Linked DNA regions of Saccharomyces cerevisiae S288C. The gene in region 1 interacts genetically with each later gene. Each region holds a gene or a part of one and is shown in the gene's direction. Other genes may lie near its edges.

Region 1 (3,206 bases):
CGAGGCAAAATGTTCCTGCTGGTGAAATTTTGGATTCTTTGAACCCTGAAAATATTGAAATATCATCTGGTAATCCAAATGTAGGCCTTCTTTCGACTGAAGAACCATCATATAACCAGGTCAAAGTAGAACCATTTTATGATGCTAAAAAGTATAAATTCAGAACAATGAGGCAAAACTTACAGGAAGCGTCTGATGTCCTCGATGATCAAATTGAATCGTTTACTAAGATTATTCAAAATCACTATAAGTTATCTCCAAACGACTTCGCTGATCCAACTATTCAATCTCAGTCCGAAATTTATGCTGTTGGAAGGATAGTTCCAGATTCGCCGACCTACGACAAGTTTTTGAATCCAGAATCGCTTTCCCTAGAGACCTCAAGAATGGGCGGCGTTGGAAGAAGGGTAAGGTTAGATCTATCGCAGGTCAACGAGCTTTCGTTTTTCTTAGGCCAAATTGTGGCATTCAAAGGTAAAAATGCTAATGGGGATTACTTCACCGTTAACTCTATTTTGCCGCTACCTTATCCAAACTCCCCAGTGTCCACATCGCAGGAACTGCAGGAGTTTCAAGCAAATTTGGAAGGTTCTTCTTTGAAGGTTATCGTGACCTGTGGCCCATACTTTGCAAATGATAACTTCTCCCTCGAATTGTTGCAAGAATTTATCGATAGTATAAATAATGAGGTAAAACCTCACGTCTTGATAATGTTTGGCCCATTTATAGATATCACCCATCCTCTGATAGCGAGTGGTAAATTGCCAAATTTTCCCCAGTTCAAGACACAGCCCAAAACATTGGACGAGCTTTTTTTGAAGTTATTTACTCCTATTCTAAAAACCATATCACCACATATCCAAACCGTATTGATACCCTCCACAAAAGATGCAATTTCTAATCACGCCGCATATCCACAAGCTTCTTTAATTAGAAAGGCTTTACAGCTGCCTAAAAGGAACTTCAAATGCATGGCTAATCCTTCATCTTTTCAAATAAATGAGATATACTTCGGTTGCTCAAACGTTGATACATTCAAAGATCTAAAGGAAGTCATAAAAGGCGGTACTACCTCATCAAGATATAGATTAGATCGTGTTTCTGAGCATATTTTACAACAGCGCAGGTATTACCCCATATTTCCAGGTAGTATTCGTACAAGAATAAAACCAAAAGACGTATCTACGAAGAAGGAAACCAATGATATGGAAAGCAAAGAAGAAAAAGTTTATGAACATATATCTGGTGCAGATTTAGACGTGAGTTATCTGGGACTAACAGAGTTTGTTGGTGGGTTCTCGCCTGACATAATGATTATACCCAGTGAATTACAACACTTTGCAAGAGTTGTCCAAAACGTAGTTGTTATAAATCCCGGAAGATTTATTAGAGCAACAGGTAACAGGGGATCCTATGCACAAATTACTGTCCAATGCCCTGATCTTGAAGACGGGAAATTGACGCTTGTTGAAGGTGAAGAGCCAGTTTATCTACACAACGTGTGGAAGCGCGCTAGAGTTGACTTGATTGCTAGTTGATATATTTAATTCAAACTTAACTAATGGAATAGCTCAAGGTAGCACCAAAAAGTATTGTTATACACCTGAACTATCGACCTTGAAACTGGCTCTATAACTTACTTATTGATTAAAGACCATAACATGATCAGTATCCGGGTAATAAAGTAACGTGATCAGAGGCCAGAGAAAATGTTCATAAGTAGAGACTACTCTTAAATGCATAATAAAAAAAAAAACTGATAGGCATCACTCTTTCCTTTTTGACTAAGATTCCAGCATCACATTGCAATATGTCCACTGGTATTACTTATGATGAAGATAGAAAGACACAATTAATTGCCCAATACGAATCTGTAAGGGAAGTTGTGAATGCAGAGGCAAAAAATGTTCATGTTAATGAAAATGCCTCCAAAATTTTATTATTGGTTGTTTCGAAATTGAAACCAGCTAGCGATATACAAATTCTTTACGACCATGGTGTGAGGGAGTTCGGGGAAAACTATGTTCAAGAGTTGATCGAAAAGGCAAAATTACTACCAGACGATATCAAGTGGCACTTTATTGGCGGTTTGCAAACGAATAAATGTAAAGATTTGGCTAAAGTGCCAAATTTATACTCTGTTGAAACAATCGACTCCTTGAAGAAAGCCAAAAAATTAAACGAATCGAGGGCTAAATTTCAACCAGATTGCAACCCAATATTGTGTAATGTTCAAATTAATACCTCCCATGAGGATCAAAAATCGGGCTTGAATAATGAAGCAGAAATATTTGAAGTCATCGACTTCTTCTTATCCGAAGAATGCAAGTATATTAAGTTGAATGGGTTAATGACTATTGGTTCATGGAACGTCTCTCATGAAGATAGCAAAGAAAACAGAGACTTTGCTACGCTGGTTGAGTGGAAGAAGAAGATTGATGCTAAATTTGGTACATCATTGAAATTGTCTATGGGGATGAGTGCTGATTTCAGGGAGGCTATAAGGCAAGGAACAGCGGAAGTCAGAATTGGTACCGACATTTTTGGTGCTAGACCTCCAAAAAATGAAGCTAGAATCATTTAGTAGGTTGAATGAACTGAGATTTTATACGAAGATCTTTTTTTTTATAGCATTACAACACAAAATGAAAATAAATAGAATCTCAAATATATATATATATGTGTGTGTGTGTTTATATATGTACAATGCGGATGATTTTCATTATAGTGAATTTGAGAAAATTTTACTTCGTAAGCACATTCTTTATACATTCGACAATGTACTTCGCCAGGGGACCGGCCGTCGTTGTTTTACAGGTAACATTAACTGTTCCATTTACCTGGTATTGTATCTTCATTAAACAACCGAAGTTTCCCTCACTTTTCGTATGAATAATACCCGAGACAAACAATGTACTACGAACACTGGTCTGATCGACTATATCAAAGCCCAACCTCTTCACTGTTTGCGTCAATAGTAGAAGTCCGTCTTCTAAACTGATTGTTTCAACTTTTCTAAAATCCTTGTTGAGCTTTATGCCAGATTTTTGGTATTCTCCCTCTTTTCCCAAAGCATCGCTCAAAGTCTTCCAACGGCTGATGAACTGTGCCAAATTCAAATGCATGCTAGGATTGACATCGCTGCTAATTAGTGTTGTAGTCATGCCTATGGCAGTTTTCAAATTGATAGTGTTTGTACTACCGCC
Region 2 (3,573 bases), on another chromosome or scaffold:
ACAAATGGTATACTGACCACCCAAAATATAAAGAAACACATGAATTCAAAAGTAGTGCTATTTGGAGAACCAAAATGGTTTGGGATTCTATCTTCCAGATTCTTGCCAAAAATAGATTTTAGCATCAGTGCCACGGGCGTTGCACCTAACCAGGCTTGCACGGCATACCATACTATAGCCATCACGACACGATTTATAATCGGCCACATAGAAAAGAATATACCAAATGAGGCCCTAACAGTAATAGGGAAAGATAAGTGATATGCGGAACCAAATCTCGAGTTCAATACTACGAAGATACCTGCAAAAGTGTAGCCGATCCAAACTGTAAGCCAACATTGCCACCAATTCAGACCTAGTTGTAGACCTGTACCAGCTATTTGCCATGTGTTAATATTGAAACAGTCTGCCAGCCAGAAATATAAGTAATTGAACCAGGACCAACACCTTCTTTCTTCTTCAACCGGTTTCAAGTCTCTGTTATACAAGAACGACTCTTTCAACGAAACATTCAAAGTTGTCTTGTCTAACACAATGAAATCGTAGTATATTTTACTCCAGATGGACTTTGTTTCGGGCAAGGGCACGACTTCGCTCTCCTCTATTGAGGAGTTGTCCACATACACATTAGTGTTGATATTCTTGTTCTTGTTGAACTTCCCATTTTCCACATCTATAATATCATCTTCATTGTTTGTATATGACACAATAGATGTGGAGGGTTGGACACCTTTCCTCGAAGGATTACTGAAAATAGCACTTAGAGCGTCGTTAGCCATTCTCGTCTTTGTTGATGTTTTATATCACAAGATGTAGATGAATATAAAAGGTCAAAAAGGGAAACTAAAGTAACATATATATTCAAACTACTCATCAAGCTAATTATTTATACTTTTTTTTTCTTCCCCATGTTTTCCTAGCCTTCTATGCTCAACACTAGCAGATCAAGTTTCTCGATTACAAACTTGTTTCTCTGATACTCTACCTCTCTATGCTAATCATTGGACACAATTTTTAAAGGAACCTTATCGACGTGACAGCAAAGCGGTCAATCCATCCTATTATTCCTTCTCATCTCCCTGAAAAGGAAAACATCCTGGATCTTCAATTACACATACACATTCCTTATCGCAACTAGATTAGAGGCGCTATTTTGTATGCGACAGCGAGTAAGGATGGCCGGAAAAAAAGCGGGCGCATTTTCCCTGGCAGAAATTTTTCATTGATAAGAAAGTAATACCGATAAGAGATACCCTCGAGCCACATTAGACCCGAGAATTGCAGGAAAGAAAGGAACTGCATGTTTCGATTCTATTGTCCCTTACTGCGGATCATCGAATAGGCGCAAATGTGTTGATGGTGGACTGATGGAACTTTATCAGGAGAAGTGGTTCAAAATTGCGGTGCTTAATTATCTATATAGAGGAGGCATATCTCATCGAAGGGGACAATGATGAGGTAACGCAAAAGTGATGAGTTTCTACTGGTATCTTGTAATTGAAGGTACCCCTTTTTCTTTTAGCTATCTTTAATTAGGTTAGAAAAGTGTATATTTCGCAAAAACGTATAGGCAAAAAAAAAGTGAAATACTGCGAAGAACAAAGATGCCTATCAATGCCATCACTTCCGACCATGTCATTATCAATGGTGCAAATAAACCTGCGACTATTGTGTATTCGACCGAATCAGGCACGATTCTGGATGTTTTAGAAGGCTCCGTGGTTATGGAGAAAACTGAGATAACCAAATATGAAATACATACGCTGGAGAACGTATCTCCATGTACAATTCTGCCTGGACTTGTGGACTCTCATGTTCACTTGAACGAGCCCGGTAGGACTAGCTGGGAAGGATTCGAAACTGGAACTCAAGCTGCTATTAGTGGCGGGGTCACAACGGTGGTTGATATGCCGCTAAATGCTATTCCTCCCACAACAAATGTGGAGAATTTCCGAATTAAATTGGAAGCTGCTGAGGGCCAAATGTGGTGCGATGTTGGGTTTTGGGGTGGACTGGTACCACACAACTTGCCAGACTTAATTCCGCTTGTCAAAGCTGGCGTTCGCGGGTTCAAAGGATTCTTGCTTGATTCTGGTGTGGAAGAATTCCCTCCAATTGGCAAAGAATATATAGAAGAAGCCTTGAAGGTCTTAGCCGAGGAGGATACCATGATGATGTTTCATGCTGAGTTGCCCAAGGCACATGAGGACCAACAGCAACCCGAGCAAAGCCATCGTGAATATTCTTCGTTTTTGTCCTCGAGGCCGGATTCTTTCGAAATAGACGCCATCAATTTGATTCTCGAATGCTTGAGAGCCAGAAATGGACCAGTTCCTCCTGTACATATAGTTCATCTGGCATCAATGAAAGCAATTCCCTTGATCAGAAAGGCACGTGCGTCAGGGCTACCAGTCACAACAGAGACTTGTTTCCACTATTTGTGTATTGCTGCAGAGCAGATCCCAGACGGAGCCACCTACTTTAAATGTTGTCCACCCATCCGCTCTGAGTCTAATCGCCAAGGCCTATGGGACGCTTTGCGTGAAGGTGTTATAGGCTCAGTAGTGAGCGACCATTCGCCATGCACCCCTGAGTTGAAGAACTTGCAAAAAGGTGACTTTTTCGATTCTTGGGGAGGAATCGCTTCCGTCGGACTAGGTTTGCCATTGATGTTTACCCAAGGCTGCTCTTTGGTCGATATCGTTACATGGTGCTGTAAAAATACATCCCATCAGGTAGGACTATCTCACCAAAAAGGCACTATAGCTCCCGGGTACGATGCTGATTTGGTGGTATTTGATACTGCAAGTAAACATAAAATAAGTAATTCAAGTGTCTACTTCAAAAACAAATTGACTGCCTACAACGGGATGACGGTCAAGGGCACAGTTTTGAAAACCATATTAAGAGGCCAGGTGGTATATACGAATGCCAACGGAGTCTCGAAAACACCATTGGGTCAAACTTTGCTTGATTCTAGACGTTAAACTAAAGTTGCAAATTTTTATTAAAGAAATTCTATAGAAATAAAAGAAACAAATTTATAAAAAGTTATTTACACACATACATATATTAACCACTCTTAGTTTGAGATGACACAACTTTTAATGATCTACAATATATCCATCTGGGTCTCCACGGCTGCAATTTTGAAATTTTCTTAGCGCTAAAAAAAAGAAATCTAACTGAAAAAAAAAATTATACCTCAGCTCATCGAATGCATCTAATACAGGTATAACGCAGAGAAAGCAGTAAAAGCAGCAAGAAATTACAGGGAAGATGGCTGGAAATGCAAACTCAGTAGACGAGGAAGTTACCAGGATATTAGGAGGCATATATCTTGGCGGAATCCGTCCAATTATTGACCACAGACCATTGGGTGCAGAATTTAACATTACTCATATTCTTTCTGTTATCAAATTCCAGGTCATTCCAGAGTATCTAATAAGGAAAGGTTACACGCTAAAAAACATACCCATCGATGATGATGATGTGACTGATGTGCTGCAATACTTCGATGAAACGAACCGATTCATTGATCAATGCTTGTTCCCCAATGAAGTTGAGTATTCG
Region 3 (2,779 bases), on another chromosome or scaffold:
TATTAGATATTTTAAACAATATCTTATTAAGCTATAGTGAATTTTTAAAAGAAAATGGAAAGGATAGTAAAGCCAATTATGAATGCGTACCCGAACTTTATTTCACATTTATAAAAAAGTTTGATACTGAATTAAACGACTCAGTAAACGCAGGCGCAAATTTCCGTAAAGTTGTTCGTGACCTTTTAAACCTGTATCTCGAGCCCTTTGTTGTCAACTATATGAATCAGACAACTAGAGTATTTGAATCATTGATCAACTCACAATTAGCTAATTATGACACACAAGTTCAAGACAAGCAGCGTGAGCAAAACGCAAAAATTTATAACACTTTAAAAGATCAAACGGATGCTTCGAGTGCAAGTAACAATGAATTGCCGAATGACCTCTCAATAATTACTGAAACCTCCAAAACTGTCCCAGAAGCGGATTCAAAACCAAGTACGATCCATCAATCAGTTCATTCAACTGATATTTCTAATGATAAACTAGACTTTCTAAGTTCCTTCACCAAGATTTTCAAGTTCTCGAACAATGAAAATCAAAGGCTAAAGCAACAACTACAACTAGCCTACAACTTAAATTTAATTTCCAATAACTTGCAAAACATTAAATCGTTAATAAGTCTCGATTTATGTTACAAAATTTTACAGGAAACAAGCGAAAAGACGGATCAAATTTACAAATTTCATACGATTGAAAGTTTGCTACCATTGATCAAGCTACGCTGTCAAGAGATTTTCAAAATTTTAATTACACAATTGAATAAAAATCACGTTAAACCTGCATTTGAAAAGGCAATCCTGCTACTACAAAAATATAATCCTAACGAAATAGAACAAATAGAAATAAAATTCAATTCACTTTCGCCAGCCAATACTCAAGTCGAACCTTTAGTACAATTCACTGAACTTATCAATATAGGTGACATAATATTACAAATGATTTCCATTTTTTACAAGAACGAATTGATTCCCAAAAAAATTATCGATAAAAATAAAGATTTTCTTAATGATGTTATCCAATTAAAAAAAAATTTTGAGACTTCTATCGATGATTTTGTAGCCGAAGGTTTAAATATCGGTATAAACAAACTAATGGATGAAATCTCATTTGTATTCAAGACTCTTCAATTGCCTGACGATTATAATCCACCGCCACCCTCTAGGAATTCTCCAATAAGGGATATAAAGCCAACCAAATGTGCTATCAGGGTAGTCGAGTTACTTTCTAATCATTGCTTTCTACTGACTGGTGCCACAGACAAGGGTACTATTGACGTGTACCAACAAGAAATTGGCGAGAGATTCTTTAATGAAATCGTCAAACATCTGAAGAAGTGCTTCATATCTACGGAGGGCGCAATTTGGTTAATCTGCGATTTAAATTACTTTTACGATTTTATTGCTAACAAATTAAAACAAAAAAATGTTGTTCCCTATTTTGTTGGGCTTAAGTCTATTGGCCAGTTATACATCATTTCAGGCAAGGACTCGAAAGAGTTGGGAAAGCTTATTTCTGATCTTGGGAAATTCAATGGCATTTTTACGCAAGAGGAAATTTATGAATTTGTTCAGAGGAGAAGCGATTGGGTTCGTGTACGGAAAGACGTTGAAAAGGTAATGTACGGCCTAGGCATACGAGATTGCTGCATTATGTAAATTCCTATCAATGATTAATTATATTACTCTATATAGGTATGAAGTGCGGAAATAAAAGACTGTTCACATATTAGATTATTCAAGATTACGCGGGCTCTATTTTTCCCTGTTAGCCACACGCACACAAGGGGCATACAAATGTTCACTCCATTTATAAGAGGATTCCACACAAGATCATCGATAACATGGTTCAGTACGCTCCCTTTCTATTAGGAAAGTATGTTCATTCTTCATACGCTATTCTATTTTTTTTTTTTTCACACTTATTCTTTTACTAACGCATAGTTAACCATTTGCTGTTTCGAAGAGGCAACATCAAACAAGTCGATGTGCTCTTTCCCAAGCTGGTCTCTATTGCAGATTTTCTGATCCGTTATTGGCAATTATGGTAGGCTGTCTCAGCTACTATGTGTACGAAAGGAAAATGGGGCGTCCACAAGGTCATCATTTACACGAGCTCATAAAGAAGCGATGGGACGATCGCAAATAATAATCCGGCGTGAGGGGAGTATATATAAGTTTCTGGCGATATGTAAATACCATAATAATTAATCCTAGGATCTACCTTTATACGCATTTATCCTATAAAAACCCAATCTTTCAGATCCACAGTATTTTTATATGTGTGATTTCCTTGATTGTCTCAATTTAAAGAGTAATACATACAACTTAGACCAAAGAATTATTCAATAGATGACGCCGAAAGAATCTGGAAAGCCTATTTCGTGTGCAATGAAGAAGTTGAAAGGCAAGAGATCTAAGATTTTGGTTTTATCTAGAGATGCGGGCACCAACGAATTGAAGCCAACGAAAGGAAGAGCACATCGAGCTTGCATAGCTTGCAGAAAGAGGAAAGTACGATGTAGTGGTAATATACCATGTAGACTTTGCCAGACTAATAGTTACGAATGCAAATATGATCGCCCCCCACGGAACTCATCGGTATTTGATAGGGAAGTAAGCGATGATAGTTCCTTATATGCACAGAGAGCTTCCCACGAACGGGAAGATAGCAAGGGCCCTATAAGTTCCATTGATTACAAAAAGGTTGTAGAGACGATCTTTCCACCTGAAACACTCCGTCAAATACTTGCTTCTTCTTCTTTTAACAGCCAGAA

The links.
Region 2: mutations in YBL036C (region 1) and DAL1 together harm fitness more than expected from each alone (negative genetic interaction), as found in Saccharomyces cerevisiae (2 studies listed by BioGRID).
Region 3: mutations in YBL036C (region 1) and NCE101 together harm fitness more than expected from each alone (negative genetic interaction), as found in Saccharomyces cerevisiae (2 studies listed by BioGRID).

Annotation. Positions count from the first base shown.
Region 1 is NC_001134.8:149,825-153,030, reverse strand, and holds YBL036C (pyridoxal phosphate homeostasis protein), read left to right. Parts: upstream 1-1,810; coding exon 1,811-2,584; downstream 2,585-3,206. Other genes in the region: DNA-directed DNA polymerase alpha subunit POL12, read left to right, coding at 1-1,538; APL3 (Apl3p), read right to left, coding at 2,745-3,206. UniProt on the Saccharomyces cerevisiae protein: Pyridoxal 5'-phosphate (PLP)-binding protein, which may be involved in intracellular homeostatic regulation of pyridoxal 5'-phosphate (PLP), the active form of vitamin B6.
Region 2 is NC_001141.2:405,674-409,246, reverse strand, and holds DAL1 (allantoinase), read left to right. Parts: upstream 1-1,604; coding exon 1,605-2,987; downstream 2,988-3,573. Other genes in the region: DAL4 (allantoin permease), read right to left, coding at 1-779; tyrosine protein phosphatase YVH1, read left to right, coding at 3,280-3,573. UniProt on the Saccharomyces cerevisiae protein: Catalyzes the conversion of allantoin (5-ureidohydantoin) to allantoic acid by hydrolytic cleavage of the five-member hydantoin ring. Involved in the utilization of purines as secondary nitrogen sources, when primary sources are limiting.
Region 3 is NC_001142.9:49,511-52,289, reverse strand, and holds NCE101 (Nce101p), read left to right. Parts: upstream 1-1,846; coding exon 1,847-1,878; intron 1,879-2,021; coding exon 2,022-2,151; downstream 2,152-2,779. Other genes in the region: RCY1 (Rcy1p), read left to right, coding at 1-1,661; YJL206C (uncharacterized protein), read left to right, coding at 2,355-2,779. UniProt on the Saccharomyces cerevisiae protein: Involved in a novel pathway of export of proteins that lack a cleavable signal sequence. May be part of the export machinery or may also be a substrate for non-classical export.